Drosophila melanogaster: one gene and its partners. The protein of the gene in region 1 interacts with the protein of each later gene in a pairwise test. Each region holds a gene or a part of one and is shown on either strand. Other genes may lie near its edges. The genes, in order: CG30178, CG12206, CG14655 and CG13186.

What was found.
Region 2: the proteins of CG30178 (region 1) and CG12206 interact in a two-hybrid assay, tested with the Drosophila melanogaster proteins (one large-scale study listed by BioGRID).
Region 3: the proteins of CG30178 (region 1) and CG14655 interact in a two-hybrid assay, tested with the Drosophila melanogaster proteins (one large-scale study listed by BioGRID).
Region 4: the proteins of CG30178 (region 1) and CG13186 interact in a two-hybrid assay, tested with the Drosophila melanogaster proteins (one large-scale study listed by BioGRID).

Annotation. Positions count from the first base shown.
Region 1 is NT_033778.4:23,984,821-23,991,498, forward strand, and holds CG30178 (uncharacterized protein), read left to right. Parts: upstream 1-1,794; 5' UTR 1,795-1,899; coding exon 1,900-2,463; 3' UTR 2,464-2,488; downstream 2,489-6,678. Other genes in the region: Sox14 (Sox box protein 14), read left to right, coding at 1-199; Phm (Peptidylglycine-alpha-hydroxylating monooxygenase), read right to left, coding at 707-875, 943-1,281, 1,340-1,388, 1,442-1,574, 2,517-2,589, 2,647-2,734, 2,798-2,855, 3,294-3,482; Pask (PAS kinase), read left to right, coding at 4,011-4,098, 4,167-6,678.
Region 2 is NC_004354.4:3,468,962-3,477,550, reverse strand, and holds the start of CG12206 (uncharacterized protein), read left to right. Parts: upstream 1-3,026; 5' UTR 3,027-3,410; intron 3,411-4,100; exon of another isoform or gene 4,101-4,179; 5' UTR 4,180-4,402; coding exon 4,403-5,677; intron 5,678-8,589.
Region 3 is NT_033777.3:4,774,636-4,783,550, forward strand, and holds CG14655 (uncharacterized protein), read right to left. Parts: upstream 5,668-8,915; 5' UTR 5,440-5,667; coding exon 4,984-5,439; intron 4,485-4,983; coding exon 3,875-4,484; intron 3,705-3,874; coding exon 3,193-3,704; 3' UTR 2,862-3,192; downstream 1-2,861. Other genes in the region: CG44088 (uncharacterized protein), read right to left, coding at 37-411; atms (antimeros), read left to right, coding at 1,071-1,144, 1,203-2,169, 2,229-2,804; Ccdc39 (Coiled-coil domain containing protein 39), read right to left, coding at 6,636-7,330, 7,652-8,915.
Region 4 is NT_033778.4:12,077,799-12,084,542, forward strand, and holds CG13186 (uncharacterized protein), read left to right. Parts: upstream 1-3,477; 5' UTR 3,478-3,519; coding exon 3,520-3,951; 3' UTR 3,952-4,259; downstream 4,260-6,744. Other genes in the region: CG8888 (uncharacterized protein), read right to left, coding at 1,497-1,520.

The DNA of each region.
Region 1 (6,678 bases):
CGGGAGCACTTGTACATACGCGCAACAAGACTACACCGGAAGTGTAATTGAAACACACAATGATCTCAACTACGCCGCACACGATAACAACGGAGCTCTGCTAGCCTACACATTTGAGGACTTGCCGCCTCAGCCAACCGGTAGTCATTTAGAGTTTAACACTAACAAATACGAGTTTGCAAGTTATTATAAAATGTGAGAGATATTTAAGTTTGTGTAATTTATAACTAATCTAATTGTACGTTTATAATTTTACACCAAATTATATATTAAATATGTATATGTATGCAGATAATACCATATATTCCATAAATTCTATATACATACAAAAAACGCGAGAATAAATGCTTTGCATTGAAAATATTTACGTCGGAGCAGTCTCATTTACTGCGTAGTGGAATGATCGCTGATCGCTGGTTCCTGCTATGCGCGACGAATGGGAAGGAGATTAACCTTGCGGCGATCAGCTAAGTGCTCCCAAATCCATTCAATAGGATCTCCAGCGGCTCTCGCGAATTATCTACATATGTTTATTTACACGTTACACAAATATGTTATATAAATCATTGGTGGCCAACAAAAGGGGATACAGAATGAGGCTAAACCATCATTAGTTGTTGCACACGATAAAATAATCCAGACAGTAAGGTAGTATACATTCGTTTCTCTTTCCGCGGCCGATTTCCTGGCTCTCGACGAGCGCTGATTACAAGGTGCTCGCCTCGATATGTGGGATATTGTGTAGGCCGGAGTCGGGATTGGACCAGAAGTAGTAGGGGGCGCCCTGGCTGAAGCAGAACTTCATGTTTAGTGTCTCCCCGTGATCCACGTAGTACATGAGATAGAAGTTGCACATCTCGTCCTCGTTCGTGGGACTGTCATCAATAAATAGTTGGATTAGGAGTGGTGCTAGAGCTGCGTTTCAAATCACTGCGTACTTACCCTATTTTGGTAGTCCGATGGCGAGTGCTCTGCATAGTACACCTCACGGCGATCTTATCTCCCTCGATTATGGGGTCTGTGTTGCTGGTGTTATAGAACATCTGGGGCGTGAGGGGATCTCTCTTGCCCAGCTGCAGCCACTCCTGTTCGCCGTCGCTGTTTGTCCTCACCCGGTAGCCGGAAACGACCTTTCCCAGGCCGTGGGTGTGCACCCGGTACGCAAAAGGATGCAGCACCTTCTGCTCGTTCACCTCGCAGGCCGTTTCCAGGTGCTCCGTCTTCATCGCCGGAATCTGTCCGTCAGTGCCCAGCAGCAGAGTGCCAGCCAGCTTTTTCCGACTGCCAGGATGGTACTGATTATTTTGAAAATCACGCATATTAAACGAAAGGAACTTACGGCTCTTCTGTGTAATCCAAAAACACACCAGAATCATCAGTGGAGCCATCTGAAGAAAAACACATTTAAATTTCCTTATATTGAACGCAATCTATTACTTACCTTTGAACTTATCAATGTGCGCGTAGTGAACTTGCAGCACAAGGTACTTGATTGGCGAGTTCTTGCCCACCTTGAAACCCACTCCCTCGGGCAGATTTAACTTTTGGGCGTCTCTGGCCCAAGCGTATACGATCTGTTGAGAGGTAAGTGTTAGTCCAGTAGGTGAAATTGTCTATTAGCACATTTGGCAGTTAGTTAAAGGAAAAACTCGATAAACAGGTTCAAAACTCTTATTAAACTGTGCTGACTGTCAAGGATTGACCTATTAAAACTTAGCCAGTTAACTCCTAATTATCCGCGCATTTCGATCTTTATTCATATGCCACATCAATCGTTTTGAAATGTTACTATATATGAGTTCGATTTTTGTGTCAAGAACAAGACAAAATTTGACTTTAAAACTATCTTTCCGATTTTTCCTTAAAATTTATAATTTGTCTATCAGAAAGCTGCCTAGTATGTCCGCTTCAATTTGCTGCAGATGCAACGAGAAGATTTGGCCACGGGCAGTTTGCAGCTTGGGTAAGACGTACCATCCGCACCACTTCACCTGCAAGGAGTGCGGCCTGGTGGTTGATCCTAAACTGTTTTTCGCGGTGGACGACGACGTGGTCTGCAGCGAGTGCTATCTGGACAAGCATGCCGCTCGGTGCTCCGCCTGCCGGACTCCGATCCTAGAGCGCGGCGTGGCTGCTGCGGAGCGCAAGTGGCACGAAAAGTGTTTCCGGTGCGTGAGCTGCAGCAAGTCGCTGGTCTCGGCGAGCTTCTTTGAAGTCAACGGATACCTGTTCTGCAAGGCGCACTTCCGGGAACTGTTTTCGTCCCGCTGCGCAGGCTGTGAGAAGCCAATCGATCGTCGAGCCGTGGTCGCGCTGAGCACCAAGTGGCATGCCAAGTGCTTTAAGTGCCACCACTGCCGCAAAAGGATCAGCGCACGGGAATTCTGGATCGAGAACGGTCAACCCATTTGCGCAGCCTGCCAAACTGTAGTCCCGAGTCCCCGAAATTTGTCGGCCCAATAAATGTGTGGTGTCTATCTGGGGGCCTATTTGGACATTTCTTTTTCTTTTAATACCTGGGAATTGGAGTGGGGTCCGCAAGGACTGGCAGACTCTTCTTGGGAAGCTCGGTTCATCTCGCCACAGTTCCTGTGAGCAAAAATGTGCGTGTTATTTACTAGTCTGAAAACATCACTTGCAACTCACCAGGTGGTCTTCGAGGTTCCGGGCTCTCCGCATCCGTAGAGCAGCATATGGTGGGCCGTGTTCATCGTGGCATTAGGATTGAAGCCAACTATTTAAGATAGAAAGGTTAGTTGAAGTATTTAAGGAATGAATCTCATTCGAAAGGACGTACCAATATAGTAGGTGGTAGTTGGGTCGACCTTGATGGGCGTGCACAAGTACAGATCGGGCTATATATGTACACATATATATATTTGTTAGTTTTGTTAGAGAGAACAGGCATATTGGATAAGTCAACAAGTATTATTCAAATGGGAGTATGGCCTTCAGTGGGCCGTTTGCCCTTTTTCGCCACCCTCGTAAAAACAAATTCGTATCTACGGCGCAGGTTCGAGAAGTGCAATCTACAGGTTTCGGTTTCAGGGCCTTACATGTGGGTGGCGAATTGTGTGTATTCGGGTACAACTGAACATATGGAAAAATTTGCACAGTACTCTTATGGGTTTTCCCCGCGCGGAAGATACGGGAAAAACCAGAGCCTATATCGAGGACTTTTCTAATCTGATTGGAATTGTATGCGCACAGCTGCAGCTGGGCGAATCTGTTCATCCATATGGAGCGAACTCCATGATGTATATGTATGGCGTTTTTCAGGAACCTGGACTTACGGTCTGGGGCGAAACGTTGGGCATCAGGAATGGAAACGAAGCCGTTGCGCCTGTTGCGGAGTTCGACTCGAGATTCTGTTGATAAAGGGAGTTTTGGTAATCCCCCTCTTTCACAAGGCCATCCACACTGATCACTCCGATAAGCAGGAGCAGCCCCACGGAAGCGGCTATTTCGGATATGCGTGGCATTTTCACCGTATTCGAACTATATTCGAGTGTGCACTGCACTGAATACTTTGTGGAAAACGAAAAAAAACCTTCCTGTTTGGAAGAACAATACGTTTTGTATTGCTCTCTCCGATATTTTTCCACACGTAGCTAGGCCCAGTTTATATGTAAGTAAGTGCGTTCTAGGCAGCAATCGATACCCAGAGCCATTATATCGATGACGGCGCCAGGGCTGCAGGCTAAGGGTTAGCGGGACATTCAAATATATATAACTTGTTCGCATTAAAGTACATAAAACCAAGTGTAATTTTCAACCTTTCGAATACAGTGATTTAAAGACACCTCAACGCAAAAGGAAACCCCACAAAAGCCAGCCCAATTCAACGTGTCTGCGTTCCGTTCGACCCACTGGGGAATTCCCCTTTTCGCATGCGCCATTCAATTGATTTTCTACGAGCAGAGTTCCCAATGTTTACGGTGCGCTCATTTGGTTGTAGCTGTAGGCCTCGAGTTGGAACCGCTGGGACTTGGAAAACATACGACGCTTAAATGGAGGATCAGGGCGACGTGACAGACCAAGCCGCTGGTAAGCTGAGTAGTTCGAATGCCCAGTGCTCCAGAAACCGATGTGCTAATGGTAAAGCTATATAGATGTACACTCAAGAGCGGTACTAAATTATTTACAAAAAATCGTGTAATTCCCAGATGACCCCATTATGGGCAGCCACAGTCAGAGTCGCCAGAACTCGTCCGGCATGCTGAACATGATGGACGCCAGCTCCTTCAGCATGCCCCCCCCCAATCTGCACTCCTCAAAGGTGATCAACCCGAACAAGGCGATATTCACAATCGACGCGAACACAGGGCAAATTTTTATAGTGAACAACAAGGCCTGCCAGCTGCTGGGCTACACGTCGCAGGAGTTGAGGAACAAGGGATTCTTCGACCTGCTTAACGGCAAGACAGAGAGCCACATCTCCTCCCTGGCGGAGATGCAGATCGAAGGCGATGAGGGCCGGGTCGTCCTGCTAAGTGGAAAGGTCATCGAGATGAAGACCAAGTCGGGCGGCAAGATCCTGGTCTCTCTCTGGATCCGGCAGATCAGCAGCGATGGCCGACACATAGCCGTCGCGGAGCCTGTGGAGAGGCATATTTGCCACATCAGCACCGATAGATCCGGAGTGATAACATCCGTTGACTCCACCACGGCCACCATATTCTTTTATGAATCCGTCGAAAGCGTGGTGGGTGTCAGCATTGTCACCCTTATCCCGTTTATAAAGCTGCCCGATCCGGATAGCCGTGAGATCCCCAAGAGCCTGCGGAAGCAGAGAGCTACTGGTCGAACTACGGATAACGTAAAGTTTCCCCTGTGCTTGCTAATAGCCCTGGACGAGGATGCTTCTGCGGGGTATTCCCATTCGGGAAAAACCGGTCTAAATATCACCGTCTGGGTGTTCCAGAATCTTAGTGGCCTGATTGTGGTAGATGACATAGGCAACATACTGATGTGCAACCAGCCTTTCTCGCTGCTAATGTTCGGATATGGTCAGGACAAGATAATGAACATGCATATATCGGCGATCCTACCCAATTTCGGCAAGGACTCTCGCGAGGAGAAGAGTCCGAATGTTTCGAACACCTCGATAACCAGTAACGACTGGGAGCCGGACACGGATCCCCTCGTCGTGGACAACGACTCCTCGCTGCAATCCTGCAAGAAGAGCTCGACTAACAGGACGGCGCCCAACAACGAACAGTCTTCGGTGGGCGATGCCCACCTAAGCTGCAATCTGGAGAACAGCAGTGGTCTATTCTGCGACCTCCGCCAGCCAGATGATTGTACAATAGATGACATTCTAACACCTGTAAATGCCTCAAACAGTTTCCCCGCTGACGAGTTTGAGGTAGGATCGCAGTCGCAGGTGAATGAGTCGTCCCTTGACAAGGCGAAGTCCGCGTCCACGGAGACCTGTGATGCCTCCGGCAGCAATCCCGCCACCAGACTGCTTAGTTCCATCAACGGAAGCTTTGTGGGGGAGGCCATTCACGCCGATGGCTCCGTCATAGAGGTAGTCTACTCCGTGCTCCTCCAGATACTGCCCTGCTCCAACCGGGTGTACTGCATCTGGGTGTGCCGCAACCCCAGCACTCGGCTGGACGGTGAGAAGTACAACTATGCAAACCTAACGTCCACATTCAACAGCATGGCCAGCACTGTTGAGCAGTCGCTGGGCCAGGTGATAAAGACCACCGCTGCCCAGAACTCCAGCAGACCCAATTCTCTGTCCTTGGTGTCCAAGTACGAGGACGAATTGTACCTGGGCGACTACAGCAAATACTACACGTCCATCCGCCAGATCGGAAGAGGAGCCTATGGGTATGTGAATATGGCTTTCCGGAACAGCGACCGCCTGCTGGTGATCACCAAGTTTATTCTCAAGGAGAAGCTCTGCTCTCAGTTTATGGTTAAGAGCCGCGACTGCAAGGAAGTTCCTATCGAGATCCACCTGCTGCAGACCCTGAACCACAAGAACATTGTGTCCGTTCTCGATGTTTTCGAAAATGATCTATTCTACCAGCTGGTCATGGAGAAGCACGGATCCGGAATGGATCTATGGACGTTCATAGAGCGGCGGCCCCTGATGGACGAAAAGCTGGGAAGCTACATTTTTCGTCAGGTGGCCGATGCCGTCAACTATCTGCACGAACAGAAGATACTGCATCGGGACATCAAGGACGAGAACATTATAATTGACCAGAACTTCACCATAAAGCTGATTGACTTCGGATCGGCGACCTTCATGGAGGAGGGAAAATTCTTCTCCACGTTCTACGGCACGACGGAGTACTGCAGTCCGGAGGTTCTGGCCGGAAACAGATACGTGGGTCCCGAGCTGGAGATTTGGGCCCTTGGTGTGACGCTTTACGTTCTGATGTTTTTCGAAAATCCATTCATCGATGTGGAGGAGACATTGAAGGCCGAGATTCAAATACCGAAAGCTGTGTCCGAGCAATTGAGCCGTCTGTTGAGCTCCATGCTGAATAAGGATCCCAAGTACCGGTGCACCATGCACCAGTTAATCACAGATCCATGGCTCACCCAGGAGGTGAATCCCTCTACTTTCAGTTTCTCGTGGATAGTGCCGTGCAAGGCCCACGAGGCCAATCCGAATCTGTATTTTTCCGGCTACCTATACTCCAGTACTTCGGTGCT
Region 2 (8,589 bases), on another chromosome or scaffold:
TCGACGGCTTTCTGTGTGAATCACGAAATCATATCACATTCGAAACTATGCTTAAAACCTAAAAAAACTACTTTAAAGTCTCAGTGTTTTAGATATTTGATGGCGGAGATATGTATGTATATTGGAAATGAGTTATGTTTTGCTCTAATCGAAAGTTATACGAATAAAATTACTTGTTGGTAATCGTTATCATCGCCACACTCCATTGTACTTATGGCCTATAGGTATATCTGTAGTTATATATATATACATATACATATACATTTACATATACATTTACATTAAAGAAAAACATTAACAAATCGCAAACGCAACCGTTCAAATAGGTGGAAAATGAACCCTATAAAGATATACATATACATAACTGGAGATGGCAGCTTAAAGTTAAACGACTCATTATTATATATATATACATTTATTTATGTGTGTTTGAAATGCAGCTAATGGTCGCGTGAATTCGTTTTGAAACACAATTCTGGACACTTCTGGGCATTTTTAAAATCGATCAAAAATTAAAAACCCTTGAAAAAGAAATTCACTCCTCCATGTAGCAATGGATTGCACTGTATTATAAGTTATCAATTTCATTATGGTATACTTATACATATATATACATCGATATATATTATACACATCTATTTAGATCGAAAGGAAAACATATATTATACATGTATTTAATGTTATTGATGTTGACAATAAAGGAACCCTTACGAAACGAGTTTTAAACCAAAACGAAAGAGACGCGATATATGGGCGACCTTCTATTACCCGCAAAGAATACGCAGATGGAACACACGCAGTTTGCAAAAACTTGAAAATGAATAGTAATATATTTACGATAAACAATTAAAATCATATTGCTAAAAAAAAAAAAATTCGATGATTATTACAGAATTTGTTATCCTTATTTTGCTAGCTCACAAGAAACTTCTAATTGATGTAAAATTCTTTCATTTGCATTGAAACACATGAAACTATGATATAGATAATTCAACGTATGATTATTAACTTATGTTAAACTTGCAACTGTTAAGTCATAACAACAATTGCAACTAAATGACAATAAATAATAAAAAAAAAAAGCCTACGTTCATATGGTATTTTAATTGGCCACAAAAAATTGGGATTATTTTTTTTCTTTCACTTTTCAATTAGCCTACGACTCCTTTACAAATCCTGAATTCATAAAAACTTCTCCATTGATTAGTGAAGCTTGGCTAGTTTCTTTTCACTGACTAGAAGTAATACACAGTGAAAAAAAAATGGAATTAAATTGTTAAATGTAGATAAATAAGTTGTAAAACATATACAAATGTAACGAAAGGCGACAAAATTCTTTAAAAAATATTTTTTTTTCATTGGCAATCGATGGACAAGTGTCACTCCTTTCTCACAGTGCAGCAAAGTGTGTGAGTGTGTGTGCGCATGTGCAACGGTAATCTGAATTGGCCAACGCCTGCAGCAGCCCTTGTGACTTCAGCGGAGCGCAACAGGCGGAAACAAACTGGCCAAGTGACCGGCCATCGTGCTGGGCGGAGCGGTACCTCTACCACTGGGGGCGGTACGGGTGGCGGTGGCAAGCACAAACATACATAAGTACATACATACGTACATGCATACCATACATTAGTGGTCGTCATCGTTGGACGTCTCACTGCATCGAATTAGCGGTAAATTACAAGCTGCAGCGCCTGTTGCATGTGGCTGCTGCACTCGTACTTTCTGCATACTGCAAGTGCAGCTTTACATTCCGTTGATTGCACACACAAATTCGAGGCGTCTTTCTTTCGGTTTTTTTCTTTTTTTTTCTTTCCTTTGCATAAACACTTTGGTATTAAATATAATTAAAAGCTAAAATCCATTTGGCAATTGTTCAGCCGGAGCGACGAAGTCGCTTGATGGAAAGTTGTTGTTTATGCTTAAGTTGTACATATGTACATATTTCTAAGGCGGAAATTTCTGGGCGACAATGCGACCAATGCGTCCAAAGAGGAGGATTCGTTTGAAACTAGAATCAGCATGGGGTCAACTCGTTAGCTTTTTCAGCTTCAGAGATCCAGAAGTGCATATGTTTATTATATATATATATACATATATATATTTCTTGGTTCGAACTGAACCAATTTGATCGGCAAGCTGTTTTGATTGCCAGCGGAATCGGAATTCCTGCTCTCGTGTTGAAGTCTCAATCGCGTTATCGCCGCACCTGAGCCCCTAAAAACTGAAAACCAGTTTGAGGCCTTGCCACATTCCATTCAGCCATCCAATTGCCACTGCCCACTGTGCCCCGCGCACTCTCGATGTCCCACTGTGCAGCTGTGGCACCAAACAATTAACTTTGGCAACAAACGAGTACTGCGCCGCCAGCAACAGCAGCAGCAACAGCAGCGGCAGCAACAAGACCAGCAATAACAATAACAATAATAAAAGCGACGGACAAGTGCCGACGTCGACATGGGCAGCGACTGCGGCAGAGGCAGCGCCGTCGACAGCGGCTGCGCATGCGCACGTAAACAAATTCTCAGCGGCGCATATTTGTTGCCCGCTTTTTCCTTTGGGGTAAGTTGACTTTTGCACTCATCGTGCAACATGCAGGCTATGTCAAATAAATGCAACCTATTTCTATGCATTTAATAATAAATATAATATATTTTCAATATAATTGAAAAATAATTAAGCAAATGTGTAGCAAGTAAATATTATTAATTATTAGGGCAATACTTGAAATCTGACTTAATTGCGTACTTAATAAGCTAATAAATCTGCTGACAGTGTATTTAAACCATCGCCTTGAAGCTCTTTTATTTTTGTTTTAGGTAATTTCAGCGGCTGCTGCTTTTTTTTTGTGAGTTTCTTGAAAGCAAAAATTAAAAAAACCTCAACAACAACTGGCTTGAGAAAGAGTCGGCGAATGGGCGGCAGACAGAGAGGAAACTATGCGAAGAAGAAGAAGTGGTAAAAAAAAAAAAAAAAAAAAAACAATCCCTGGCGAAACACGCCAACCCAAAGCGACTTTGTTGCTGCGGCTTCAGTTGCCAGCGCGATTTTGAATGGATTGTACGCGCGGCGAGTTCTCAAAAGTCGTGTTTTCAAGCCGATATACATGTGCATATATATACATATATATTACATATAGTAACTGAAGAATCCCAACGAAAGATCAAAGATTGATAGTAAGCACAGCAACATGAAAATCTAAAGGAAAAAAACAGACTGCGTGCGTGTGTGCAATATATGAAAAAATATAGTCCAATAAAAAATCTCTGAATTTTTTGATTTTTTCGATTTTTTCAATTTTTGTTTTATTTTTGTGTGTGTGTTTGTTTGGTATGCTATCAAATGAAAATTGTGTGCAATAAGCGGCGAATGCAGGCCAGCAGCAGCAACAACAACAACAGCAATACCAACGGGTAAATATTTCCAAACAACAAACGAAAAAAAAAACACAAATACCAGGTTCAAGTGTAACCAGTTTCCAGATTCCAAAGAGAAAAAAAAAAATCGTAAAAAACCGCAGTCAAAAATGCCGCGGGCTGTGCGCGCCCAATATTTCAAGTTCCTCCTCAGCAATTTAAATGTAAATTCCGACTCGTTCTTAAGTTTGAAGAACATTCACTGTCGGAATCGAAAAAGTTGCTGCACTAATCGATACGGCTTGCTACATACATACATATGTAGCTACATTAATAACGAAATGATATCTGAAGTTGATTTCGTTACAATAACTATCTTTTGTTTATATTTAAATTGTTTCAATTAATTGCTTAGTTTACAAATATGTATAGAAAAGAAATGATTAGCTGCAAAAATTACAGGGTATTCAGAATTTTATATTCCTTTTGCTTACGACATTCTTTAGCCAGTTCTTTCTGCTTTTTGCGGTGTTTCGTGTTTATCATTATTATGATTATTATTATTTTTTTTTTTGTCTGGTTTCCCATCTGTATTTTTAGTATGCTGGTAAAGCCTTTAACATTTATTCAGCATCATCTTCAACTTAAATGTCAAGCTCGTGTGGCGGCGTCTAACACACTTGGAGAAATTGAAAATACCTATCTTGGTTAGCTTTGGGGTCATATTTAGACATTTTTTAGACTATTAGAATCTCAACGGCTCGTCAAAATTTCAGTCGAAAATAAATAAAACTTTATTTCATTGGCATAAATACATTTCTTGCAGAGGCAACTGCGGCAATTACTTCAATCGTATGCAGGCGGCATTCTAACTGTAAAGCACTTGGCAACGGTCAACGGCAGAGACAGAGGCAGAGGCAGAGGCAGCTGCAAGTGGAACGCACAGGAGCAACATCATTAGCCGGCACTTGATTGCATCAGCTTGGAGGCACGAGATCTAGGCACTGGATATCTGAAATCGGATATCGACAACCAGATGCTGCAGAACCATGGCGGCAATTACTAGCAATGTGTCGCGATTGGAGCCAATGCGCGGTATTTCCATAATCATTGAATCGCCAGAAGTGGCAACGGCAACACCACCACCAGCAACAACAACCGCAACTGCCGAAGCAGAAGCCGCAACAAAACAAGTAGCACCAACTGCCAAGAGCAACAGCAACACTGAAATGTCGCTCAAGTCACAGGCTGCTGGCATGTTGCTGGCATTTGGCGACACAGCAGCAACAGCCAAAGATAATTTGGAAACTAGTTACGACACTGCAGCAAAGTCGACAGCAGCACCAGAGACCAACAAAATCTATCCGCAGTTACTGTTGCGCATTGGCGGAGAAATTGCCGGTGCAACAGCATCAGCAGAAGCAGCAGCATCAGCAGCAACAGCAGCAGCAGCAACAGCAACATCACCGACCATAATCAGCTGCAATGGTGAAATTGCCGCCAGTCAAGCAGCAGCAACAGCAGCGGACACAGCGGCAACATTGCAACACAACAATACGGTGAAGATTCAAATCGAAAGCCAGGGTCAGCAGCGAACACTGGGCAAGCAGATAAGTGTGGTGAAGCTGAACGAGGGCGTGGAGGAGATGCAGCAGCACATGTGCTATTTGGTGGACACCAGTGGCCAGTACTCGCCCTGCGAGACCTTGGACAGTGGCACGGGCAGCGATCTGGAGAATCATCCGCAGCAGCAGCAGCAGCCGCAACAGGTGAGATCACCGCAACTGGAGCTTCATCTGCAGACCACGCGGCTGATGGTCAACGAGGAGGCGGACCATAAGCACAGCCCGCTGGAGACGCCGAGTCCCGTTCCGAAGCGAGCATATAGCCTCACCGATGACAGCGAGGAATGCGATGAGAGCAGCAACTCATCGCTAAGCTGCGATTCCCTGCACTCTGGTGGCCTGCTGCCCACTACCCTGCTGCGGGATATTCGATTCAGGGAACGAGCGTCCGGTCCTCTGGTCACCAAAATCAATGGCAGACCATTGCAATTCGAAACGGATGGCTATTACACATTCCATGTGCGCGAACACGAGAATTTCCGGAGTTTTGGTTCCAATTCCTCGACGGAATACGAAGCGCAGCACTTTACGGATGAGCAGCCGGGTGAGGATTTTGTTGGCTTTCGTGACATTCGAACGGCGGGCAAGCTCGCCGGCAATTCTACAATTAAATCCGCCAAGGGAACCGTACGGGGCGTCAAGAATCGTGTGCGCAATGGAGTAGCCACCTTCTTGCAACTGCAACAGCCCAATGTCAAGGTGAGATTTGCTAATAAGAGTAAGCAACGAAATCAGGTTGAATACTTTGTTTGAGATAGTCTTTTCCAATGAGAAAAACAGCGAAACAAAGCCCATTCAACAATAAAAAAAAGGCATGGAAAATGTGCAATGTATTCGTTGAATGGATACATTAAGCGAATTCATTAATTGCAATTGCAATTTAAGTGAACAATTTCAGCAATGAAAGTCATTGCATTCACCATTGGCACTCAAAATTTAAAAAAAAAAAAAAATGTAAGAATGTCAGAATGTCAATTCCGCCTTAAATCAAAATCAAATTATTTATCGAATTTAAAAATATTTTCAGTTTCGTTTGTATTAAATTAGCGCATGAGAAATTCGAATAAATATTTGAATACCACAAAACTACAATATTATGCGCCAACTTTGAATATGATTCACACAAACACTCATTCAATTGCATGTGGGGGTTATTCATTGAGAAAGTTTTTTCGGTATGGATTTCTTTTTTTTTTTGTGTGTGTGTATTTTTGAACATTTTCGTATTTGTTGTTTAACTTTTGCCTTTGGGTCGCTGACTTTTTCACACCTACACTGGAGATGCATTCGAAACTAAAGATACAAGTATAGTATTGCAGTTGGGCGTCATTATGCAATGCTGATTTATATGTATATTTAAATACATACATATATATTGCATGTGAGGGATCGTTTGTTGGCCTGTGTGAAAGTGAATCCAGACATTTCGGTGATTCATTGCCGCCTTTTTTTTATATATATTTTTTTTTTTTATTTCATTACGATTATTATTGAGAAATTTCTTTCACGAAAGACAATTAACACCTGACTGCCGCTGTCTATTTGCGGAGCTTGTTGTTGCTTGATTCGCCATTAAGCGGCTTAATATGTCGCATACGCCCTTCATTTCTATATGGATATCAAATCCGAAAAGGCAAAAGAAAGCTAAAATGCTGACGGAAGTACAAAGCCAGATAGTCGGCTAGATAAGTTATACATATAAAGTTTGCCTTAAATGATCCGCCACCTGACTAATTGCAAGTGTCTTTTTGTCTCGTTGTCTTATTTCTCAAACCTTTTGATTTCGGTTTTCTCTTTTGTGGAAAGTTCTCTTCTAAACGAGGGGGGGTTCCAAAAAAAAAAAACAAAACGAAAACCAAAATTAATTGACCTATTTTTTGGTGGAGGGGAAGCGCGTCGAATCGCAGTTTTATTGTGCCAGAATTGGCCACGCTCGCACTTCTGAAATACCCTCGATTTTTTTTTTTTGCCCTGTCATCGGGTTGATCTCTGGCCTATTGTATATCGCTTTTAAACGCCTTTTTAATGTGAGTTTTGCGAAATCAATTTACCAGACAGGCGGTATCGAGTTAACCCTGGACATTGAGCAACTATTACAACATCTACCTAATAATTGGTGTTCGATCTGATTGGCTAAGTGCCACGCGGGCAGTTAAAACTTTGATGGTAGTTCAATAATTTCAAGTATCGGTACATTTTCTATTATCTTACATTACATTTATTACCATTTGTGTAGATTCCAAAACCTCTGTGGCATTAAGCAACCTTCGTGAATTTATATAAAATACGACGACAACTCTATCATAGGGCTGTCACCCCCATGAACTTCAAGGGAGTTCATCAATATTTCATCCAAGACTCAATCAAATATATTTGACTGCCTTCTCAACGAATTAAATGTCAACTTCTTTGGCGACTCACACGTTTTTGTTTGGTGATTTTTCTTAGTCAAATTAGCAAAGCCAACCTTGAAACCAAAATCAATGTATAATTATTGCTAAAATAAAAAAAAATGAAAGATACCAAAAATTATTTGGCTAAAAACAGCTTGCATAATTTGTTCAAGAAACACACAAATTATCATAATAAAGAGCCACTAATGCGTTAATTATGCAACAACAACAACAACAACAGTAACAACAATCGGATATACTGAGCAGACAGATCGAATTATATTTTATGGGCCGCAGCCGATTCCTTTTGCCTTTTGTTTCAGATACGAGTTTTTTTGCATTTGGAGTGGTGTCATTAAAATATCATTTAGCTAATTTGAGTTTGAGCACACACATACATACATACATACATACATACATACATACACACATCTACCAATATAATTTTGTGAACAATCATGTCTAAGTTTAAGCACTAATCGGTTTGGCCAAAAAAAAAAAAACGAAAGTTTATGTGTGTAATGACCCGATAACAAGCCCACTTGCACACGAAAGTCCCCTTCCAAAGATTGAAATTGAATATTTTAACCAAAAATTGCTATAGTAATTTCACTATATTATATATAGCATTTTACAGCACTACAGAAAAGGTGGCAAAAAGACCCTTTCAACAAAATGAGAAAGTATTTAAAATTTGCTGGCCCTAACTACTAATTTTCCTATTTAAGTTGTTTGTTGTATAGTTTAAATTGCAGGAAAACCTTTTAACCTGCTCCCAATTGAGTAAACGAATAAAGAGACAATGGAGTAATTTTATGTCATAAATAGCAAGCTTAAAAATTAGATAAAAAGTAACAATTTATCAGAATAAGTAATCCCACCATTTTTTGTTCCGACAAATATTTCGTATTGAAGATTCACTTGAAAACAATATAATCCCGTGTAGAAAAACTTTTTCATTTGAGTAACAATGCATATTTTTCTATGCGCCTTCAAACGAAAGTGAAAATGAAAACGAAAATGTACTCTACGTGACTGAATTTCAGATTTAAAGCATATTTTTGACGATCTTTTACGCCGTACGAGAGTAAAATATATAAAGATACACTTCGCACAATTAGGCAGCTAAAACTTGTGCGGGGCGTTAGCTGCATTTCAATTTCAATTTGCATTCAGGGCCAAAAGAAAGAAAGCCACGAGAGTCACTCGAAATGGGCT
Region 3 (8,915 bases), on another chromosome or scaffold:
AGGAAAATTTCACAGATTCCACTGGTTATTCACTGTTCATGCTGGCGGTTGATCCGCTCCAAATCCCGGATGAGGCGGCGGAAGATCCTTATACCGCTTACTTACGTATTCACTGCTTAACATCTTATCATAGAATTCGTTAGCTTTCACATAGTTTGGATTCCGAATGAATCTCTTCTGTCGACCTCGCGTTTTTGGCAATTTTCGGAGCTCTTCGCTACTGCTAGTTGATTTAAGGCCTACATCTTTCTGATCCTTAATCATCCTTTTAGGTGATTCTCCTGCTACCATGGGATCCACCAGTTTCATATATAATGGATCGGGCTCGTTTGCAAGTGGGTTTCCAGTTTCAGAAGACTCTGACGTTCTAAGCGCCAATAAAATGAAAATAACCAAAAGGAAACTAGACATGTTTCGTTACAGACAGATATAGATTGGATATTATTGAAAGAAAATGAAAATAAACAGCGATAATGATCTGTGACTTATTGGAAATTAGATGGCTTATGGATGATGGGGCGATAAATTCGAACAAACACTGAGAGCATTTTTGGGAGCATTGTGGGAGCTTTTCTATTATCCAGTACTTTATATACATATATCATTTATATACTAATCATTTCTGGTAGCCGTTCGTAATCAGGATCGGATCCTTTTTTACCCGTTAGTCAGCTAGAAGAAACGAAAAATTAAAATAGTAAAATCTAAAAGTATACAAAAATTCAAATAGTAAAACCAAAAAGTATTAAAAAAAATATCAATCGTTTTTAAACGTTGATTTTTCAGCTTGTGGGGTGATTTATCGCTAACTTGGAAAATGATAATAAAGCATTATCCATAATATTAGTTGTGGAAATGAAATTCAAATAGATGTTGTGTTATATACGATGAGGATGTTGCATTTGAGTCCCCGGAAATATAGTATTTTTTTTACCGAAGGTATTATCGTACCGGTCAAGTACGGTCACACTGCCAAGCGCAGATTTGAGGATTTCTAGATTTGGCCTCTTGATGGACTAGAAGCGCTACCAAAACTGGGGCTTGAGTTGAATTACCTGTTGGAAGACACAATGCCACCCACGATCAACAATTCGGCGGTAAACAGTGCCGCCGAAAAGCGACCCCAGCGGCAAACGGAGCGCAAGTAAGTGAACAGATCCCTAAACAGACGCCAGATACTCAGACTGATGTGTACCTTGCAGATCCGAGATCATTTGCCGCGTGAAGTATGGAAACAACCTGCCGGATATACCATTTGATCTGAAGTTTCTGCAGTACCCCTTCGACAGCCACCGCTTCGTGCAGTACAACCCAACGTCGCTAGAGCGTAACTTCAAGTATGACGTGCTGACGGAACACGATTTGGGTGTCACGGTGGACCTGATTAACCGGGAGCTCTATCAGGCCGACTCCATGACGCTGCTGGACCCCGCCGATGAAAAACTGCTGGAGGAGGAGACTCTGACGCCCACAGACTCTGTGCGTTCGCGCCAGCATTCGAGGACGGTGTCATGGTTGCGCAAATCCGAGTACATCTCCACCGAGCAGACGCGCTTCCAGCCCCAGAACCTGGAGAACATCGAGGCCAAGGTCGGTTACAACGTCAAGAAGTCGCTTCGGGAGGAGACTCTCTACCTGGACCGCGAAGCCCAGATCAAAGCCATCGAGAAGACCTTCAGCGACACCAAGAGCGAAATTACCAAGCACTATTCCAAGCCCAATGTGGTGCCAGTGGAGGTACTGCCTATCTTCCCCGACTTCACCAACTGGAAGTTCCCGTGCGCCCAGGTCATATTTGACAGTGATCCCGCTCCTGCGGGCAAGAACGTGCCCGCCCAGCTGGAGGAGATGTCGCAGGCCATGATTCGTGGTGTGATGGACGAGAGCGGCGAACAGTTTGTCGCCTACTTCCTGCCCACAGAGCAGACGCTGGAGAAACGCCGTACAGACTTCATCAATGGCGAGCTGTACAAGGAGGAGGAGGAGTACGAGTACAAGATCGCTCGAGAGTACAACTGGAACGTGAAGACCAAAGCTTCCAAGGGCTACGAAGAAAACTACTTCTTCGTGATGCGTCAGGACGGCATCTACTACAACGAGCTAGAAACCCGTGTGCGCCTTAACAAGCGTCGCGTTAAGGTTGGCCAGCAACCCAACAACACCAAGCTGGTAAGTATATTTATGCGCATACATCTATAGCGAGCTTTACTTTGTATTATTTCTACCAGGTTGTCAAGCATCGTCCATTGGACAGCATGGAGCATCGTATGCAGCGCTATCGCGAGCGCCAGCTAGAAGTTCCTGGCGAGGAGGAGGAGATCGTGGAAGAAGTGAGGGAAGAGGAGCAAATGCAAATCATTGGCGAGACGGAGAAGACGAGCGAGGACGCAGCTGTTGGCGCACAGGCAGCATCTGGAGCGGACTCACCCGCCCAGGTAGCCCGCGATCGACAGTCTCGTTCTCGGAGTCGAACTCGCAGCGGGTCCAGTTCAGGATCTGGATCTGGCTCCGGCTCTCGGGCCAGCAGCCGCTCAAAGTCTGGTTCTCGGTCTGGTAGCGGCTCCAGATCACGCACAAATTCGCCGGCAGGATCCCAGAAATCCGGATCCAGATCGAGATCGGTATCACGTTCCCGATCCCGTTCCAAGTCCGGCTCTCGGTCGCGTTCTAGGTCGAGATCCAAGTCCGGTTCCCGATCACGTTCGGGCTCCAGATCTGGCTCTGGGTCGCGATCGCCCAGCCGGTCTCGCAGTGGCTCGCCTTCTGGTTCAGGATCCAGCTCTGGAAGCGCCTCAGATGAATGATTAATTACAAAAAACGGCGTTCATAATAAATAAGTTTATAATCAACCAAGTACATTTGAAAACTGAACTAACTCGATTTAATATCATTTTCGCCTCAACTCAGCGCTCGGGTTCGTTGCCCAGAATAGTTTTAAATAAAATCGGCAGTTTAACATAATTTATATTAGATGTTGTTGTTGTATTGCAAACAAGTCGGGTCCTAGTCGATTTACACTTGGCTGAGATAAAACAACTAAGATTCAAATAATATCCTCATAAGAAGATGTAATTAAGACGTTTTTCTTAGGGGGTGCTTAGGAATTGATTAGATCGCCTTTGGGGAAGTGCAAACAATGTAAAATGATATAAAAGGGTATAAATTAAGTGGATATATGCATCTTCGTTCCAACTACGTGGCGTCCATCAAAAAGCGCTGGAAGACTTCGCCATCGGAACTAGGTAGCTCTGTTTGTTGCGGTGAGTAGATTCTCAAGTTCTGGAGTTGCTGCAGCGGAGAGCCATTCCCGCTGAAGTGTACCACCGCAACCGGCTGTAGGGATATGAGCTGTCCCTCCTCCCGCGGCTCCACACCACAGATGCCCAGCTTTTGGCACTGCTCAACGACAATGTCGTCGATTGACTGCGAAAGCAGTGCCTCCTGCTCAGGATCCACAATGGAGCTGCTGTTGATGGCAGCTATTTCGGCGCTCGCTGGTGAAGGCTGAGTATGCGAGTCGTTGCCCTCCAGGAACGCCTTTATCAGCTGCTCCGGTGTCTGGGCCTCCTCGGTGGGACATCGATGGGTCCTTTGACTGACCTTGTACCTGAACGTCTTTTGGCAGAGCTCGCACTTGTAGGGCATCACTCCCGTGTGGATGCGCGTGTGGACAAGGAAAGAGACTCGCTGCCGGAAACACTTGCCTGTGGACGAGTCCGAAATACGAAAAGGTTAGACATGGAGTGACCCGGAAAAGAAGGTATACCTCTCCTTCATTTAAAGTAAATAGGGCAAATCGCAATGGAGTATGCTCATTTATAAGCTGGCTAACAAAATAAGGGGCGGCTAATTAAGGGGTTTGATCGATACTCACCGCAGACTTCGCACTTGAAGGGCTTTTCGCCGCTGTGAATCCTCTGGTGGTTATGCAGCGTAGACAGTTCCTTGAAGGCGCGTCCACAAACCCCGCAGACATGGGGCTTTACCTCGCTGTGGTAGAGCAAATGCTTGTGGTACGACTGCTGGAAGGTGAAGGTCCTGGCGCAGATCTCGCATGTGTACGGCATCTCGCCGGTGTGGAGCCGCTTGTGCTTCTTCAGAAAGTACTTGGTGGTGAAGGACTTGCTGCACACATCGCACTCCCACAGCTTCGGGGTGGCCGTGCCCGACTCCGGCGAACTGGGGGACTGCTGGAGCATGCTCAGCGCCCCACTCAGCGCGTATGGCTGGGATGCGGTGCACGTGGAGTTATTTCCGTTGCCAAGGGCTCCAGGCTCTGTGTGTCGAATGCGATCGCAAATGCTCAGCTTGGGCGTGGCAGTAACTGCACTGGTGGTAGAAGCGGGTGTAGGACTGGGATTAGGATTTGGATTGGGATTGGAGCAGGGCACGCCCATCATGTGCACTACTTTCAGGTGGATTCGAAGGGAGCCCTTCATTCGGAACGTCTTGGAGCAGAGATGGCACTTGTAGGGCTCCTGGTCCTGTATAAAGCAATAATCGGAATTTCACTTATATTTATCAATTCATCAATATGCCCTCATGGCCAAATATTCCATTACATTACCGTCTGTCTCTCAGTTTCAAATTTATGCACAAAAATCATTCACTTTCATTCACTATATCACAAAGTTGCCATGGTTTTAAATTGATCAAAAACAAATTAATATCTATCATATATATACATAGTCATATGAACAGTTGAAAAATTAATTGAAAATAATGGGAACGATATACGTACATACATCAGTTGTTTTTAAAATATAAGGGTATATAGATTTCTTTCTTGTTGTTGTTGATTTTAATTACGTCAAACTTTTGTTTCAGATTCAATGTAAATGGTCTAGCTTTTTAAGTATGATTTTTTTTTGCTGCCAGTGAGCATAGAAAAAAAAAATCAAAATCGATATAAGAATATGCGAAAGTGCATTACGAAACTCTTTAGATAATAGCACTTAATATATGTACATAGCCAATAGTTACCGGTTCCTTCTGTTGGGGTTCCTTTTGCTTGGGTTCTCCCTCCGCATTTTCGTGGACTAAGCGGACGTGCATGTCCCTCAGCTCGGTATTCCGGAAACTGAACTCGCAAATGTCGCAGTGGGCGGGCGGGGTGGTCCGCACAGGCGGTGGGGTTGGGACGACGGGCTTGGACCTGGTTCGCTTGGCCCTCCGTTTGGGAGGAGCTGCGGCAAGGAAGCCCCGGGACGAGGCGGGTTGGCCATTCGCTGGACTCTCGTTTCCCTCCTGAGCCATCAGACTTGTGTGCGAGAACAGGTGGATGGTGAGCTTGTCCAGCCCCAGGAAGAGCTCCTTGCAGTTGGCAAAGGGACAGGCCAGTGGGCCGTTGGCCGCCTTGATCAGCCTCTGCTGCAGTGCGTCAATACTGCCGAAACTGGGCACCGCGCAGAGCGGACACAGCACCGAGGTGGAACACATTTCGCCAGTGCACTCAATCGAATCTTATGCAAATGCTTCACCTCCTATTGGGATTATCCTCCTGTTCGGTCTGTGATCATCTATTCAGGAGTCCATTCCCAGACTGCCTAGTCTTTCTGCTTTCAAAATTTTCTAAAAATATCAGCAAGTGAAGATTTTTGAAAACTTTGGGCCCAGCAATCTGACTTCTCGGCACCGATGCCAGCTAACGAAATAATGAAAAATAATGAAATGCCCGGCGCGGATCGTCGAATCGTCAAGAAGACTTTCGGAAACACTCGCAGCACCGAAATCCCATCTCTCGAACAAGGCAGTCTCTTTTCTCCGTGTCTCTGGGTAGCTCATTTCGAAATATAGCTCTGAGCACGGCTATATACTATATGTATGTAGAATTATTTCTGGCCGATATATGTTGCACTGGCGGCCATATAGCCTTCGTTCTAGTCTTTGTAACGCACGATGCGCAGGAGCAATTCGCTGAGATGACCACATGCGATTTGCGGGACTTATCTAGAGATCTATCATTATCGCCAGATTGGTTTAATAATTGGCTTTTCCGCCAATATCCAATTGGAATATGGTTGGTTACTGCAATTGTCGCTCCATTTTTTAAGCACTCCATAAAAAGTAAACACATTAATATGTACTCTTATTGGAGATTTCTTCTTTCGATTTTAGTTTCGGACCAGTGAAAATCATTCGTTTCATTTTCGTAAATAAGAACTGAGAAAATATTATTATTATATATATTTCTTTATTAGGAAAATACGAAGATTGAGTATTTCAGATTGAATTAGCATATCCGTCTAAATCTTAATGCTGTAATGAGCTTACTTGAGATCTGATCAAAACCAATACAAAACCCACACCAAAGGTGGTAGCTAATATACATATTTTGTGTAATACTTTTGTAGAGTATTTACTATTCAGCGATTTAAACAAGCAATCGCCTAGACACACACATTTGTCCGCCTATGTGTATGTGCACCGAGCTATACCCCCACTGAATCGCTGTGTGCTATTTTTATGGCCGCGATGCTCTCTTGTTTTGACCCGCTTGGGCAACGCATTTTATTCGCTGTTTCGTTTAGATGGTCAATTTGTAAACACTGCGATGCCAACACGTGAAGATACGAGCATACGGGTTGAGATCATCGGATATCGAACGGAATAATAAATAAATATATTTTAGACTATTATTTTTTCTTCGGCAAGGGCAACTCAAGCGATATGATGCTCAGTCCGGAGTGGGAGGTTGTGGAGGATGTGTCATCCTTAAGGGAGCTCATGTCGGAGACGGAGGACCGGGCACTAGCCCCGTCGCAGGAGAACTTCTTGCCCTTAACATTGAGGTAGGAGGCGGTGTCCTGACCCTGCGAGGACTTGCCCGAGGAGCTGCTGTTCCAGGACACGCGGCTGCACGTGCGCTTCAGGTGCATCGGCAACTTGATTCCTTTTCGCAAGAGGATTCCAATTATATCCGTGCCGCTCTCGTCGCTGTTCGCCAGATCGGTGATCATGTTCAGCGCCTTGGTGTTACGCGCCTCCAGCTCCTGTAGAGACAGATCCCGCTCGAACTGCGCCAGGTACTCCTCGCTAAAGGGCCGCGCCTTGATCTCCCGCAACTGTGTCCGGATCTCTCGATTGGCCCTGTCCAGCTTCATTCGCTGGTCATCTAGTTCGCGCTCGATCTTCTCCAGAACTGCAGAGTGCTCCGCCCGACTAGCCTTCGCCTTCTCTATTTTGGAAATCAGGTCTTCCTCCTCAGCTCGCTGGGCTGCGTGCTTCTGCTGGTAGTGCTGTGCCTTGCACCTGAGAACCTTCAGTTTTTCCAGCTCGCGGCAGTAGGCCGCCTCAAGTTCCTTCAGCTCCAGTTCGGCCCGCTCGCGATCTAGAAATTAGAAGTATGGAAAAAATCTACCAATTTAACATTGAATTACACAATTCTAAGCCACCCGGCTTGTAGACATGGCTAGAATATGACCGCTTAATGTGCTATTATAGTTACTGAAAGTCGGAACGGACGGACGGAAATGGCCAGATCGACTCAGGTATGGATCTTGATCAAGAATATCTATTCTTTATAGAGCCAGAAAACCTAATTTGTTCCTATTCAATATCTGTATCTGTGAGTGTTATTAAAATTCAAAATTAGAGCAATGTTGCTAATACTAGTAACCCTTTCCACTCTGAATGGTCATTTATAACTCACCCTTTGAGTTTTCGTCCACAGATCGGAATGTTTTTCGGTAGTTATCGTTCGATTTGTCGAACTGGCGCAGTGTGTTTTCCAGGGCGACCACTTCCTTCTCAGCCTTGAGAACCTTTTTGTTGAGGGCATCGCCCTCGTCGGCCAGCATCTGCCGTTCCTGGGCGCTCACCACCTTCAGCTGTGTGCTGGTCATGATGGAGCCGTCCTCGTTTTTGCCTAGCAATTGGGCGGTAAGTTCAAAGCGCGCCTTCATCGCCTCAATCTGCTTCTTCCGCTCCCCGAGGTCGGCTCGCAGGGTGCTTAGTTCCTCGTTAAGATGCTTCTTCTTGAGGAGGAGCACATCCTCTTGGCTGCGAAGCTCAACGGTGCGATCTTTGATGGCGCGCCGGAAGGCAAGGCGGTGCTGCTCTAGGTCGTAGGTGCCCTGCTCGCAGCCTCCGATGCCAACCTCTAGGTCGCTGCAGCGCATCTTGACCATGTTGAGGTCGACTATGAGCTCGGAATTCTCGTATCGAATCTGGCGCAGTCTCTTGACGGTGCCCTCGCAGTACACCTGGGCCTCTTTAATCTTGAACCTGACCATTTCGAGCTCCTTCTCGTCGGCGTTGTACTGGACGACCAGGTTGTTCATGTTATAGTTTAGCTTCTTATTCTGCGCCTCCGTGGTGGCGATGAGGCGTTGCAACTTTTCATACTCCTGCTCCAGAGTGTTAAGCCGGGCCATGTTTGTGGCCTCTACCTCGGGGTCATCTGCCAGACCCTTGATCTCGGCGAGACGCCGCTCCGCCTCCAAGCACTTAAAGGACAGGCTGTAATGGATCTCCGTCTGCCGCTTGAGTTCGTTATTGACCTGCTGCTGATTGCGATTGATCGCTGCCAGGTTGGAGTTGAGCGAGTCGTTCTGCACCTTCAAGACCTTCTCCTCGTCCTGCAGCTCGATGACCTGCCTCTGGGTGCGGTACAACATCTCGTTGACCTTCTCCTGCTCCTTGTCCAGGTTTCGCAGAGCCGTCTCCTCCGCCTGCATCATCTCCTCCAGAATTTGCAGCCGCTGCTCCGCATTGAGGGCCTTGTTCTGTACAGACTTCAGCCGAGCGTTAACCTTCTCCATCACCGAAGCGAAGTTCTCCAGCTCCTTGGCCTTCTCATCGCGCTTTTTCATCTGACTACGGTTATCCATGCGCTGCAGGTGAACCCGGTTCGAAAGGTTCTCCAGTTCCCGACGCAGTCCGTCGATCTCGCGCTCCTTCAGTAATGTGGCATC
Region 4 (6,744 bases), about 12 Mb from region 1:
GGTGCTCGTTGAAATCGATAATACTTCTGCTCAATGTTCGAATTCAATGGCTGATGAAATGGTCGAGCACATATTTGCCCAACAATATATCATCGGGCATTTCATTAAAGCTAACCAATTGCAGCCACAGGATCCGGAAACGACCACAAGCACTTACACCAACATATACATATGCTTGCATTTATCAGACGCTAACCCACACATTGACATTGACGTATAGCAATTACACATGACGTGCACAATACTCTCGAAAAAGTGTGGGAAAGCCACTGGAAAATCGGTCGGTTGTGTGTGTGGGAAAAATGGCTGGCAAGAGGGCACCCTTGGCAGCCCCTTTTGGCCATTGGCCATAAATCAACGACAGTGCGAAATAATCAAATGGTGGCATCTGCATAAATACAGAAGCCAATTGATTTATTCGGCCTGAAAATAAAGCAATTCCATTTCGGTTGCTTCGACTATTTTTCCTTCGCCGGATTTGTAAAATCGCCGGATCTATTTATACCTCCTAGTGCTGTCTGGAATATTAAAAGGAAATCGACCATGTCATTTCGGATTGCTTTCGTCATCCGGCGACCTTGCCACCAATTTTGGGACTTAGTTTGCCACAGATACGTGAGTATTATATGTGACTAATGCCGCCATTCTGTAAGTGGCCTACATATGGGCGACAATTTCGATCCGATCTATGTATGTACATATACATATATGCACTTGCTGCCGGTTCAGATATATCTATATTTATGTGTATTTATGTACGATTTATGTACTTAATGGGGTCGCTCAGCTGCCAAGAAATCGGTATATGTCTCCAAGCTTATTTTTATTATTAATAAAGATATGGATATTTATTTTTAGATGATGCGGCCGAATCAAATGGAATGGAAAGTTCTGGCATTGCAAAAATACTCGCACTGTATTTTCATGATGAAAATGTATTTGATGTGTATTTCGTTTGGAAAAAATCCAATCCCTTGTGGAATGTTCATAATCGTTTGCCTCAATGTCAAGACTTTTATTGTGCAAATCTGATTATAATGTAGTCATTATAACATTACTACATCCATTTAAGTTGCACTTAAAATCCCAGGCAGGCGGTAGAATTTTGACAAGTCTCTGGCGGAACACTTAAATTTTACATCTAGCATTTTGCATCTAGCATTTTGCATCTTTCAATTTCTAGTGGCTCGCACGTACGTTGACCCACTTGGATCGTGGCCATTAAGTGAATTTTTGTAATTAATTTGGCGGCCCGTTCTGAACACCGCATGACTTCCTGCCTTTCTGCTCCTTCGTTGCCGCCAAAGGATATCCTTTTCTTCTGCGGCCAAAATGGGCGTGGTTATGCCAGACTGGAGTTTGTGTATTGGCATTTCTGGGTTAAGCTAACTGGGCTAAGTGTGCCATAAGGTATACACAAACGTGGCGACAATAAATTTGGCCTGCGTAAACATGGCCACAAATGGCTTTTTTGCCGCAGGCTAGATTTCACTTACCATATTGTTATCGAAGACCTGCATGACGGATGCTGATGATGGTGTAGATGGTCGATGGTAATGTTCGGATTTTCACGCACTTTCCCAATGAAGTGGGCAATTCTCGTAGTCTTAGACTATAATATATCCGGTGCTAGAGTTTTAGATTTTTTTTTGTATTGTATATATTTTCAAGATCGATTTTCCGCAGCGGTACGGTTTGGGGGCCCGTGGCCTGGGCGCTCTGAGACACGGCGTGGCACTAAGCGGTACGATCGAGTGGCGCTGCCTGCAGCTGCCGAAAATTTTCGCTCGCCGATCGACGATCTCTGCCGCTGCCGCTGGCGACGTCGACGTCGACGTTCAAGTTCTGTTGTATTTCAAAATGATGCAAGCAGCAAATTGTCGTTTTGATTTTTTAAAAATATATCTGAAGTATGTGCAGACATGCGTATGTGGGATACATATACACACGCTGGCACGCCTATTCAGAATAATAAATATATTTAAATATTTGTTGCTCTTGGCGCTGCCCCACTGAAGCCGCAGCATCGATGATTATTTTTCCACAGCGGAAAAACAGCAGAAAAAAAACTCCGAGTGTGCAGATACATTTGTTGAAATATTCTTTTTGGCTCATTTGAATATTGCTTCAAAATGACCCTAGTTTTGAATACACAGTTTATGCGCATAATTAGTATGTGTGCAAACGCCAAAAGTTGCATTCTTAACCCCACAACGAATAGATTTCTGTTGTATGTTTCACTGTGACGTCATTGTCACTGTTGTTTACAATTGCGTTGTTGTTAATTTGCAAATTGCATTTTCATATACATTTTTGGTTTTTTATTTTTTTAAATTCCCAGCTCTTTGCTGCATTTTGTATGCTTTCATTTCGGTTTTATTTGTGGGCCGATGTTGGGAAAATTGGAAAATTGCATAAATAAACCATGACCCTCTGGGTCAGAGGGGGTTGGGGGGGATCAGGAAAATGCGGGCCACGTGTGGGCAGCTGAAGGTAAAAAATCATTCAGCTTCAGCCACGAGAAATGGAGAAATAAAATGCAATAAATGACCATTTGCAATCTCGCAATCCCGCAACCAATAAAATCAAGCAAATAAAAGAGTGTTGCAATCATGTTTACGCTCCAAAATAAGAATTTAAATGATTCCAATTAAAAATGCACAAATTATATAAGAAGACTATGTTTGCTCTTAAAATCAGTTCAATTAGATGTCCTTCAAACACTATTAAGAGACTTGAAAATAATAGGGTTTGCGATTTCATTCTTCATTTTTTTATGAAAACAATCCATTGATTTGGTATTGGTATCTTCTTCCAGCTTATGATAAATATCAGCGTATTTTGTGATAAACCTACATTCAATGGAATCCGTAAAGAATATCTGATAGTCGTCGAAATGCTCTCATCGTATAATTTACTTGCTTTAAATACTCGATTTTTATGTTTTCTCCCATTGTTTATGCATGTTTTTGTGTCCAACAATATATTATTGTTATGCATAGAATTTGTTGAGTAGCTTTTCTGCATGAATATAGACAGTGCCATAAATTGACGTCTATATTGGAGCTTTGCATATATACAAAACAAAAATCTATATATAATGAACAAAATTGTGGCTACCCAGCCAATGGAAGCATTTTCCCCTGCATCTATACAATATCGTTTTTTGTAATTTTTTCAAAGGCGGCTGCGTTGTCAGTCAATGTAGCCAAATTAACAAACGAACAGCGATTCTTTTCGTATGCGTGCCACCAAAAGTTGTTGACTCTTTCGGATTGTCATGCATTTTAAAAATAGGCGCAGCAAAAATATTCTGGACATCGTTGCGCACTTTGAAATGTACGAAAGAAGATTTATGGTTCACAGTACTTTTGTACCAGAGAATCATAAGTGAACCAAAAAGCAATCAATCAAAGCAATTATGAATTCTAGGATTGTCAACATTCGAAATAAAAATGGGTTTTGGTTATTAACAAAATCACTTCGAAATTGTGAAAGTAATCTAAAAAAAAAACCACAATGCCACCAAAGAAGCCGGCAAAAAAGAAAAAGGACGTGGACTGGTCCTCCGATGAGCATTTCTCCAAGGATCGTTCCATGATCTACATCGAGCACACGTACGAGTGTCCCATTTTCCAGACCAAGGCCGACGAGTGCGGAACATTCTTCACGCAACGGATACCGGAGCGCAAGTTCCAGCTGGTGAAGAATCGAAACGGACGCCAGGTTCCGCGGGAAGGAGCCTTCGAGATAGGGTTCTCGCAAAATGCACGCACCTCGGAGCATCTGCTGTGGTCCGGCTTGGAGAAGGGACCGCCGCGTCGGGATAAGTTCCCACTGGACTACGAGGCACTGGTGCCCGATGTGAACAGGATACTCAAGAAATTCTATCCCGACAAGGCGGTGGGCGTGGACGCTGACGACGGGGATGAGGAGAAAGAGGACATGTAAACATTTGCCGCACTTTGTTGTCTGAATTATTATAAAGTCTTTACCATAACAATGGCTAATACATGGCGTGAAAAGTAAACAATCAGCCAGAGACCTGTTGGAGCAACTTTAAGACGTCATCCACCCACGCGGACAAAATGCTCGGCGATTAGTGCGATTCTTCTTTGGCTTTTGTGTGTGTAATATTGCTGGTATTGTTGACTGACGTACTGACATCACACTTTGACAGCTCCTTTCAAAAGTTAAATGCTTAAATCGACCAGAATAATTAACCCAATACAATGCTGCCACATTAGCAGCCACACGATATATATGTGTATATATATATTATTATTACTGCACGGGGACATTAGCGACGCGTCCTATTGTCTGGCTGAGAAATCAGGGCAACTAAATCGGGACATGTGGTGTGTAGTTGGTAGTGGGTGCTACTATCTCGTTCACTTGGTGTTGACACAACAAATACCCCGAAATACATTTTCAATGTACACAATAGAGGACGAGTAATCCAAACAATTTAAATTGAAAGCTGAATTTGAAACAATAGACAAAGGGCACTCACATGCTAGCCGGCTTTTAAATGCTCTTAAAACTATAAAGTGAAAACTATACGAGCAAATCAATTTCCTATAAGCTTTTAGCTTGCATTTGCATACAATAAATGTGCAATCTATATGTTGCCTTCAAATCAGCATGACGCCCTAGTTGCTTTACATAAATAAAGTGCAAGAAATGGTATTTTCATTTGCTGTTCGCCTTTGGATTTTAATCCAAACCCTAGTCCTAGAGTAACATTTCCAAAAAGAGCAGCAGAAAACACATCCACATCCAAATCCATTGCGGATGTATTTGAAAATTGCAATGTGCCAGCAACACAATGGGCAGCTAGCTAGCTAGGAAAGTGGCTGGAAATAAATAAATTGGTAAACCGAAAAACCATCGACCGAGGGCAACAGAAAATTTGCCACTGCAAACTGGCTAGGGGGAAGAAGCCAACAAGTCGTGAAAGTCCAAACCAAATTACATTGTGGGCCAACAACAGCGATGACAATAACAAATACCAGGAATCCAGAGGGGTGCTTCCATGCTTGGCCCTTGGGACTAATACTAATACTCTGCCAACATTAAAAGTACAAAGGCAGCGTGAAAAGTTGCAGTGGAAAAACAAGAGGATTTGGTTGCCTTTCGATGATTACGTGTGTGCAAATGCGAAACTATGGCTCTGTGGATTCTCACCAGAGTTTTCCCAGCTCCACAGTTCGGAGCTCCAGAGCTCCAGAGCTTCACAGCTCCGGAGTCCGGATGCAAATGCAAATTAGTCTGGGTTACAGATGGTTTTTTGATTGACTGGTTATGGTGGCTGACTTTCAGCCACGATTCTAACGCAGTGCAAAGACTAATTTGAATATCACGCATACGTCATGTTCGCCCAGAAACTACAGAGCGTTTTTTAGCGCTTGACCGGCAGACAAAGGCGACTTTCAAAAATATTTAGCAACATTCGTGGCGCAGGTCATTAATATTAATATAATGGCTGTAAAAAATGGCGGGCAGAGGCAGCAGCCAGAAATAACCAAAAAGTAAAAAAGATAAAAATGAAAACGAAAATGTTGCCGCGACATTCCGATGATTTCAACAGATTTTATGCGACCGGCACAAAGAAATGTCAGCGAGGCGTTTTTCGTTCTTCGTATTTCGTGTCACGACTTATTCGGGGAGAAATGGGTTAATGTCCAGTCCAGAGAACGGCCATGGACCATGCAGCCTCCTTCGCTCGAGGTGGAAGTGGATGCATGTGTCAGCTGTCACCGGGATATCGAAGGGGAAACCACACGCCAAGGACAAGCCAGGACGATTGCCAAAAGGCACAGTGCGAAGGGAGCTTTAATGCAAACAGACCGCAACATTTTGCATTAGAGTGTGCGATATTGTGCGATTCCCGGCCAAAAAGTGGGTGTTGGCCCGTTGGCCCGTTGGCCAAAAGCAGTTTGGCAATGCAAGCCACTGACGGCCTGATGTAAAAATAATCCACGCAGGCGAATGCCAGCGAAATGGCACAAACAAACCGAAATGTGTTGTGTGTTATTTTTGAAATGCAATCAGCTGGATGAGGCATACAGCTCCTTCGATTTCCGGACACGTTTCAGTTATCCCATCTATTGATCTTTATATCCAATATCACATAACCCATGTGACCTATCCCATGTCCCATATCCCATATCGCATATCGCATATCCCTTACCCTTTGCTGCAACAAATTGCAGCTGGATCTAAGGGCCATTTATTTAGCAGCGATGCGAAGGCGAATGGGGCAAATGGCAAATGCCAGATGCTGCCATTTTAGGCTTTTGCATTTGTTTTATCGCGCCTAGTCGAAGGTCGTGTGTGTGTGTGTGATGGTAGATGGTGTGTTTGAGTGTGTGTGTGTGTGTTAACCGGGTAAAATCCCCTTTTAATGCGCCAGCTGGATTGGCCTTTGGCTGATTGCACGCCTAACTGGCCTGCAGATTGCATTTGTCACACCTTAATTAAGCAGCTGCGGATGGGAGGAAAGGTCAGGCAACATCATGTTTTTTTCTCTTTGCCCCCTTTTTGCCCTCCTGACCTTTAACCTATTTCGCCGGCAAACAGCATTTTATTTCCATGCGTGGCGGCCATAAAAGGTTCGGTTCTTCCCCACTTTCTGGCCCCGAAGATGATGATAATTCCTTGAGGCCGAATGGAGACGAGCAACCATCTAATTAAGCGTAAATTGGCAGCCACAAAATAGGGTTCCGCGCTCCCAACTCCCGG